Nothobranchius furzeri: one gene and its partner. The protein of the gene in region 2 interacts with the protein of the main gene of each other region in a biochemical or structural test. Links are inferred from orthologs where the notes say so. Each region holds a gene or a part of one and is shown on either strand. Other genes may lie near its edges.

What was found.
Region 1: of the proteins of ehmt2 (region 2) and lig1, one has a biochemical effect on the other in vitro, tested with the Homo sapiens proteins (3 studies listed by BioGRID). The link is inferred for Nothobranchius furzeri from reciprocal best matches to the Homo sapiens genes EHMT2 and LIG1.

What each region holds. Positions count from the first base shown.
Region 1 is NC_091751.1:40,307,608-40,311,429, forward strand, and holds part of lig1 (DNA ligase 1), read left to right. Parts: intron 1-969; coding exon 970-1,144; intron 1,145-3,632; coding exon 3,633-3,789; intron 3,790-3,822.
Region 2 is NC_091759.1:8,513,596-8,517,417, reverse strand, and holds part of ehmt2 (histone-lysine N-methyltransferase EHMT2), read right to left. Parts: intron 3,739-3,822; coding exon 3,443-3,738; intron 3,357-3,442; coding exon 3,290-3,356; intron 2,870-3,289; coding exon 2,787-2,869; intron 1-2,786. UniProt on the Homo sapiens protein: Histone methyltransferase that specifically mono- and dimethylates 'Lys-9' of histone H3 (H3K9me1 and H3K9me2, respectively) in euchromatin.

The DNA of each region.
Region 1 (3,822 bases), on a different chromosome or scaffold from region 2:
GAAACAAAAGTTGTCCACTAGATGGGGCTGTGACATGTTCCGTGTTGAGTCACATTGTGGTACAGCTTCTTAAAGGGACATGACTGTCATCCGCCTACACACATTTTCAGTTTTTATTATCACATTTATTGACATGAGAAAAACGATATTGGTAAGAGCCAGAAATTCAATAATGATACATTTAGGATTTATTGCCCAGCCCTACTTAAACAACCTTAAACAAGCTGTTTTTGCCTGAAAGCCCTCCAACGTGGCTGAGTAACAACAATAACAGAAAGACTAGTGGGACAAACCTCCTCCACTCGTTACCAGTTACCACAAACACTGCTGAGGGGTTTAAAACTGGCCATTTAATTTAAGGTTCAGCTAGTTGTCAACATCAGATCTGAGACACACAGAGCAGGATCACTGCTGCCATCCAGTCTTTACTCTGACACTTGAGTTTCTCGTATTTGTGTGACCGGCTGTGGATGGTCCGACTGGTTCATCTGAGGATGTAAATGGTTGTTTTATTCCGACTGGTTCCTGCCTGATGGGTGGCCCGTCTCCGCTGAGAAGGGATGGTTCTGTGGTAAATCAGCTCATTAGCGTGTGGAGGATGCAGCGAGTGACAGACCCGCGCTGATGAGTAAAACTTTTTAGTCGAGTCATTAACTGTCAGAAGACGAGAACTTGCGTTTCTCATTTCTGCTTTGATGATAAAGTGTTCATTATCTCCAGACTGTATAATCTTTTAAAGCTCGTCTTAAAACTGGCTTTTAATTGACTCGCCTTTATGCAACGTTCCTCTCATCATTGCTTTGACCTCTTTGTTTTATGACTCCATCTTTATTGTGTTTTACTGCTTTTGCTGTAGACCTTCCCTTTTATTTTTAATGTTTTTAACTTGGCGCGCTGTCAACGAGCTCCTCAACAACTCCATGAATCAGGCTTCGATTCCGAGTCTCAACGACGTGTGTGTGTTTTCAGGCCCGTCAAGAGTCCCCTCAAGGTGCAGAACGGTGTCCAGGAAGCTGATTCGCCCATCAAGAAGGTTGCCAAACGCAGCCGTCAAATCCTGGACAGCGATGAGGACGAGGCCACAGTCGTTAAAGAACAAGCTGCCACCAAAGAACACGAAGACAAAGAAGCGAAATCAGAGAAGGTAAAAGACACATTTAGTCTAATTATAGTCGCTGTAATTAAGAGCTCCTCTAGGCTTATCGTCGCCTGGTGTTTATTTAGTGATGTGAAACCAGTCACACACACCGGGCCAGCCAGTGTTGGAGACATTTATCAATAAGCCAGTTAATGAAAAGAGCTCTGGCTGTCGCTCAACCTCCTGTTATTTGATGAACACTCCTCTTAACCGCCTTGCTCGCTCTGTTTGTGACGTGTCAGCAATCATTTATGTTTTTCTCTTTGAGGGAAGAGACCGTGATGGATGCGTGGGGATGTCGGAGTGACCCACCTTCCCTCCTTGTTGATGTGTGGCCAGCTGGTTGTAATACATCCCCTCTTGGCAGCAGAGCCTCTCCACTTGAATTAAATGTTGGGCCTGTGTTGACAGTTAATTATTCATCTGTAAAACGTTAATAACACCTTTCTAATTCCACCAGAAGCCTTTGCAAATGGTTCACTGATCATCAGTGCTGTTGGCAGCACCTTATTTGTCGATGATTTTGAACTAAAATAACAGAAATGATCCTAGGCGGGTTTTCCCACGAGCATTCGCTGATCGCCAACCTGTAGCTTCTGGAAATGGACAAAAAGAGTTTGTTTAAAAATCCTGTTTAAATCTGGATGTGGGGTCGGTTGGTTCGCTGGAGTTTTTGACAATTAAAATTGCGCCCACATTTTCAAAGATAAACACATTTCTTTTAACAACGGTAGTTTCTGCATCTATACTGCTCCGCTTCAGCTCTCTCCCCCCTCCCCATGCGCAGTGCGCCTGCAGCCTCTCAGAGTTCCTGCTGCTCTAAACATTAAAATAATTATTTCATTTTCTGTTCCTCACTTCTGATGACCTTCAATGGTGTCTGTTTGTTGCAACCACCATGTACAAAAACTGACTTGTTTTTATTTGACTATTTTTCTGTCCTGTATCTGTTTATTATCTTCCTGCATTTCCTCTCAATCCTAAAGAAAAACTGCTACCTGGGTTCATATATATTCACCTTATGAGTTACATTTGAACTGCAGTTCTAAAAGATCTACCGACCGCAAAAACAGCGGAGTGCCGCTGTTCGCCGGCCGCATCAGTGAGGTGCATCACCGGGGGACAAAACAGGTGATGCGCCCTGCTCCACAGCAGCGAAACGCATCAGGCACAAAAAAAGACAGAAACATTAAAGGACATGAGCCGACATAAACAATCGCGTGTTAAATTAGTTTTTGAGGTGGTGACACCTGATTTGATAATGTTACTGTGGCGGTGCGCAGGACGCAGATGTCTGGAGCGCGTCAACGATCAGAGCTTTGCATGCGCAAGCTGGTTAAGGTTAGGATGGGGTGAGGGGAATGTTAAATTGCAGGAGGGTAAACATCACAATTTGTTGGTGTCAGTACTGACGCTCTGGCACAGCTCGTCGCCTCCCGACATGCAGGAGCTTGTCACCTGCTGTCTTTTCCGAGGACTGGATCTTGCCGGTCATTATCACGTGACAGCGACTAGTCGATGACAGGCATAAAAAGTCACTACAGAGCAGTGAAGTCGACTAATTCATACAACCCCTAGTGCCTCATATCTCTTTGCCCAATATATGTGGATCCCTTGGCTGAAGAGCACCAGATAAAAATCGTTTACACCCCTGCAGCACTTCCAGCATTTTTCCTATTTTCATATCTCCCAGGTGTTGACTTTTGCTAATTATTGTAGGTTGTTTAGTAATCAGAAGGTTTCCTGTTCCTTTCCTGGGAATGCTGCAGTTGTGTCCTTGGGCAAGGCACTTAACCCGACTTGCCTGTGTCGGTGGTGGTCAGAGGGGCGGTGGTGCGAAATGGCAGGTTGGCCTCAGTCAGACCTCCCCAGGGCAGCTTTGGTTATGATGTAGTTACCATCACCTGCAGACTAGTGGGTTCTCTGTGAAGCGCCAATATGAATCCAATCCATTATTATGATTATTGAAGAGGTGTTTCACTGAAAACAATATTTTTTAAATCTGATATCTGATTCTAATGAGTAACTCTGAGTTTAACATGCAGGCCGAACATGAAAATAGTCTCCTACACCTATCTGCTGCATTAGCTTCTGATAGGAAACCCCGACAGATCTATGTCACACTGTCACTTACATTGACCACGTGACGGGACGCAAGACCCAGTGCCTCCCTGCTTGACACTCAGCTATATGGAGTTGGATTGGGGGGTAAAAGCACCAAAACGTTCCTGAGTCCAGCTCGCCGCTCCCCACGGGGATGGGTTAGATGCAGAGATGTAATTTCACCAGTGTGTGATGGTAACTATGGGACTTGAGTTAGAACTGGTGTCACATGCATAAGATCTGAGTGAGAGAATAAAGCAACAGAGTTCAGTTTGAATCCTGAACAGGGTGAAAGCAGGTCTGGTGAGAAGTTTCGGACTCGAGTGAAACTTTAAAGGGCTTTACGGTTTAAACGCTAATAAATGGACACAAGCTTCTGCTTCTCTTCCAGAGTGACCATGTGTTGAAGGAGGTTTCCACCCCCCTGTCTCCACCAGCTGCAACTCAGTCCCCCGTTACCCCGGCAACCCCAGCCTCTTCAACATCCTCTGGGTCTCCCAGCACCCCCAGTTCCATCTCTCCATCTGGAATCATCAAACGCAAAACTGGTCAGTCACGTTCGATTCCCTCTGCTTTTGGTT
Region 2 (3,822 bases):
GGAGCAAAATCGGTCCCGTTCTAGTCAATCAGAGCAATTCCACTATTGCGGCCGTGCTCCGGCCGTGCTCCGGCAGTGCGGCGCCCTCTGTTCCGGCGTCCGGCAAAAATAGAATCGATCCTATTTTTGCCGGACGCCGGAGCACCTCCGCAGTCAATGGACAGAAATCACAAACGCCCAACAGGAAAAGGAGCGAGCACAACTTCCGTTTTTCACAATAAATTGATAAACAAAAGGCGTTTTTTGTTTCATATGCACAGGTTTAACAACTTTTAACAACTATCAGTGGCAGCTGAAGTTTAAATGCACAAAAGTAAGCCATAAATACAGTTTCTACTATCAAAGTAGTCACACTTTGTTGATCCAAACACTGCTGATCTCTCAACACAAATGATGGGCAGATTAAACAGTTCATTTTGATGCTTCTCCCACACAACGGGTGTTTGGATCTAACTTCCGCGTTTATTGCTCGGACTGTATCGCAAGATCTCGAAAATCCTGCGCATGCTTGTTTGCCCACCTCAGGTCTCCGCACCGGAGCGGAGCCGTTGTAGAGCGGGTACCAGTAAAAATTGAGTTCGGAAGCGAGCGGCTGCGGAAGGCGGGGGCGGACCGGACCGGAGCGGAGCGGAGGTAGTGGAATTTGGGGGTAAAAGGCTAGGTTATCCAGAGTTAGCTCTGTAGTTATGCTGCTATAGGCTTAGACTGCTGGAGGACACACTGACCACTTTCCACACTCGACTACTTTCTTCTACAATCTGCTCTTTAACTGTATTATTTCCTGCTGTTTCAGCTGTTAACTTTATTTTCTCTCTAAGTGTTTTTCTCCCCAGAAGAAGCTACATCGATGTTCTGCTGAGCTGTGGTGCCCTCATGGAGGGGGCCATCGTCTAGCACACTGCTGCTAACCACTTAAACATTCTCCCTCTCCTGATAATAACATTTTACTTTCTTTGACATAGAATGTGCTACTACTAGTTTACCCGTTTAATTATAGAATCACTAGGATCACAATGTAACCATGGAAACATTACTTGGTGTGTGTGTGTGTGTGTGTGTGTGTGTGTGTGTGTGTGTGTGTGTGTGTCTGCTCTATCTTCTTGATCCCCAGTGAGTCGTGGAGGATGGCTGCTTATACTGAGCCAGGATCCTCTGGAGGTTTCTTCCTGTTAAAAGGGAGTTTTCTTCTCCACTGTCGCTGCATGCTTGCTTAGTATGAGGATCGCTGTAGCGTCAGTGACTCAATGCAATTAGCTGGGTTCCTTATATAGGAAACTTTTTTCTGATTGGCTTAATGAACTGGGGACTCATTTATCAAACATTGAGTAGAATCCTTACTAAAACCGTACTTAAGCTCAGCAAAAAAAAAAAAAAAAAGTACTTACACCAAGTAGGTTTGTGATCTATCAAACATGGAGTACGCACAGCTGCACGCAATCTCTGCTCCATAAATCGGAAACTATCTACAAATGTTCTCAGCTGCTTTTTGGTCACATCCCGCCCTCATCACACCCACTTACTGCCATAAATATTCAATGCAAAGTGCCTTGTGGATCTCATGCATATACATAAGCCGGCTTGTTGCAGTGCTCCGCCAATGACATGGCGACCGTAGATCAAGGCAGACCAAGGAAGCCCAATTTCACAAGTAGAAGTTGAGGTGGCGAAATGAAAGGAAGTGCTTTTGCAAAACAAATAAGAGAAAATCCACGGAGTGGCACAGTGTTGCTGAAGCCGTCAAGAAGAAGGAGAAAATATCATTTCTATAGCGCCTTTCAAGATAAAAATCACGAGGAGCTTAATGATGAGTTCCTGTGGCGGATATAAAAAAATGATCCAAACAGGAGTCGATCCCGACTCCCGAGTGAAAGTCACACGCGCTAACCAGTCAGCCAAACAGTAATCTCTCTTGTCCAAGTAGCCAGGGCACATGATCAATCTTATCACAGTGACGAGACACACACACTGTCACAGACGCACGACATTCTGCCTCAATCTGTCCCCCTGCTGATATTCTGCATTCCGTATTCTGCACTTCAGGCTGTGTGTGTGTGCGCGAGCTCGTGTGTGCACGCGCATGTGTGTGCATGTGGGGTGTCTTGTTCTGTGTGAAAACGAAGCAGTACAAGTGATAATAATGCAGGATTTCATAATTTTATCCTTCTCAGCAGCAGCACTGCAGGTGCTCTCCATGTCCAACATGTGCGTAAGCCAGGTCCTTAGTCAACTTAAAGTTGCGCACATTTTTCCGCTAAGTTTTCCTTCATAAATCCCAAAGTTTGCGTGGAAAGTTGCTTACGCAGTTTTCCGACCCCGTTTTGTGCGTAAGCAAGCTTGATAAATGAGGCCCCTGGCCTGTGTTGGAATGCTTTATTATGTGAAGTGCCTTGAGACAACTCTTGTGATTTGGCGCTGTATAAATAAACTTGAATTGAATTTTCTAACAATTGCTCCAACAGTTGATCTATTTTCACCAACCTGCCCAGCAATTGCCCCGTACCTCTTTCCAGCCTTATGGAGGTCCACAACTTTGTCTCTGGTGTCTTTTGACAGCTCTTTGGTCTTGCCCATGGTTAGTAGTTGGGAGTCTGACTGACTGACTGTGAGGTGGACAGATGTGCTTAAGAAGCTTAGACAGGTGATGCCAGTTTAGATTAATATGTGGAGTAGAGGTGGACTTTGAAGTTAGAGTAAAATGTCTTTGAGCCAGAATTCTGCCGATTCCTCAGGTGTTCAAATGCTTACGGCCCCCCCCCAGTAAATCAAACACGAAGACATCAACTTACCACAGTTTGGCCTTTTTCTGAAACGCTGTCGCCCTTCTCAGATTTACTCTCTGATACATGACCCAGTTTTCTCTTTCTAGCAGCTGGTGGAAACAGAAAAACAACACAAAGCGTGACAGTTATAAGAGAAAAAAAAGCCTTTTTAGTTTTTTAAACAGTCAAACTTACATGGAAAACAAGATTTCAGGAGCATTTTCTGAGTTTTAAAAGACATGTTGGTGTTGCAACGATGTGTTTAAGAGATATAGCCGAATCAGGAGGCAAAGATTGGCTCATTCTGCCATGCAACACCTGAGCAGAGTGGTGCCAACTGAGACTTCTGCATGAAAACTAGTTTTCTGATTCAACCAAAAGCTGCAGGTCGGTACGAACAATCCAAAAACCAGCTGAAGTGATCGGCGTACATTGAATTAATTTAAAAACCACACAGTAGAAGAGGACCTGTAATTACGAGTGCTGGAGAACAATCGGAGGAGTAAATATGATCGAAGTTTAGAACTTACCTGTTTCAGAGTCAGTAGAGAAGCAGGTGGAGGAACCCGACGTAGCAGGAGTCTCAGCGTAACTCACCTGTCGAATAAAAAAATGCTAACCTTTCAGAAAAAGTAAAACAACAAACAATTGTGGGAATAAAAATGTGTAACAGAAGTCATTACTTGGCCGGGTGAAGGCCTGTTCATGGTCTTACGGGCCCGGTGGATCTTGTGTGGACTCGGGGAGACAGAAGGTGTCAACGAAGCTGAGCCAGATGAAGAGGAAGAGGAGGAGGAAGAAGAGGAGGAGGAGGAGGAGGAGGAGGAGGATGAAGAAGAGGAAGAGGAGGAAGGGCCAGGTGGGAGGACGGATTTACAAGAAGACGGCCCGGAAACGCTCATCTTTGCCCGACCAGGGGAAAAAAATGAAGAGGTGGAAGGATAAGATGACATTGAGGAAATGGACTTTGCTGCGTGACCTGTTAAGAAGAGATACAAACTGTTACTGAAGATGAAAAAACATGTTACTAAAGATTAAACTAAGCGATCACTACGTTAAAAAA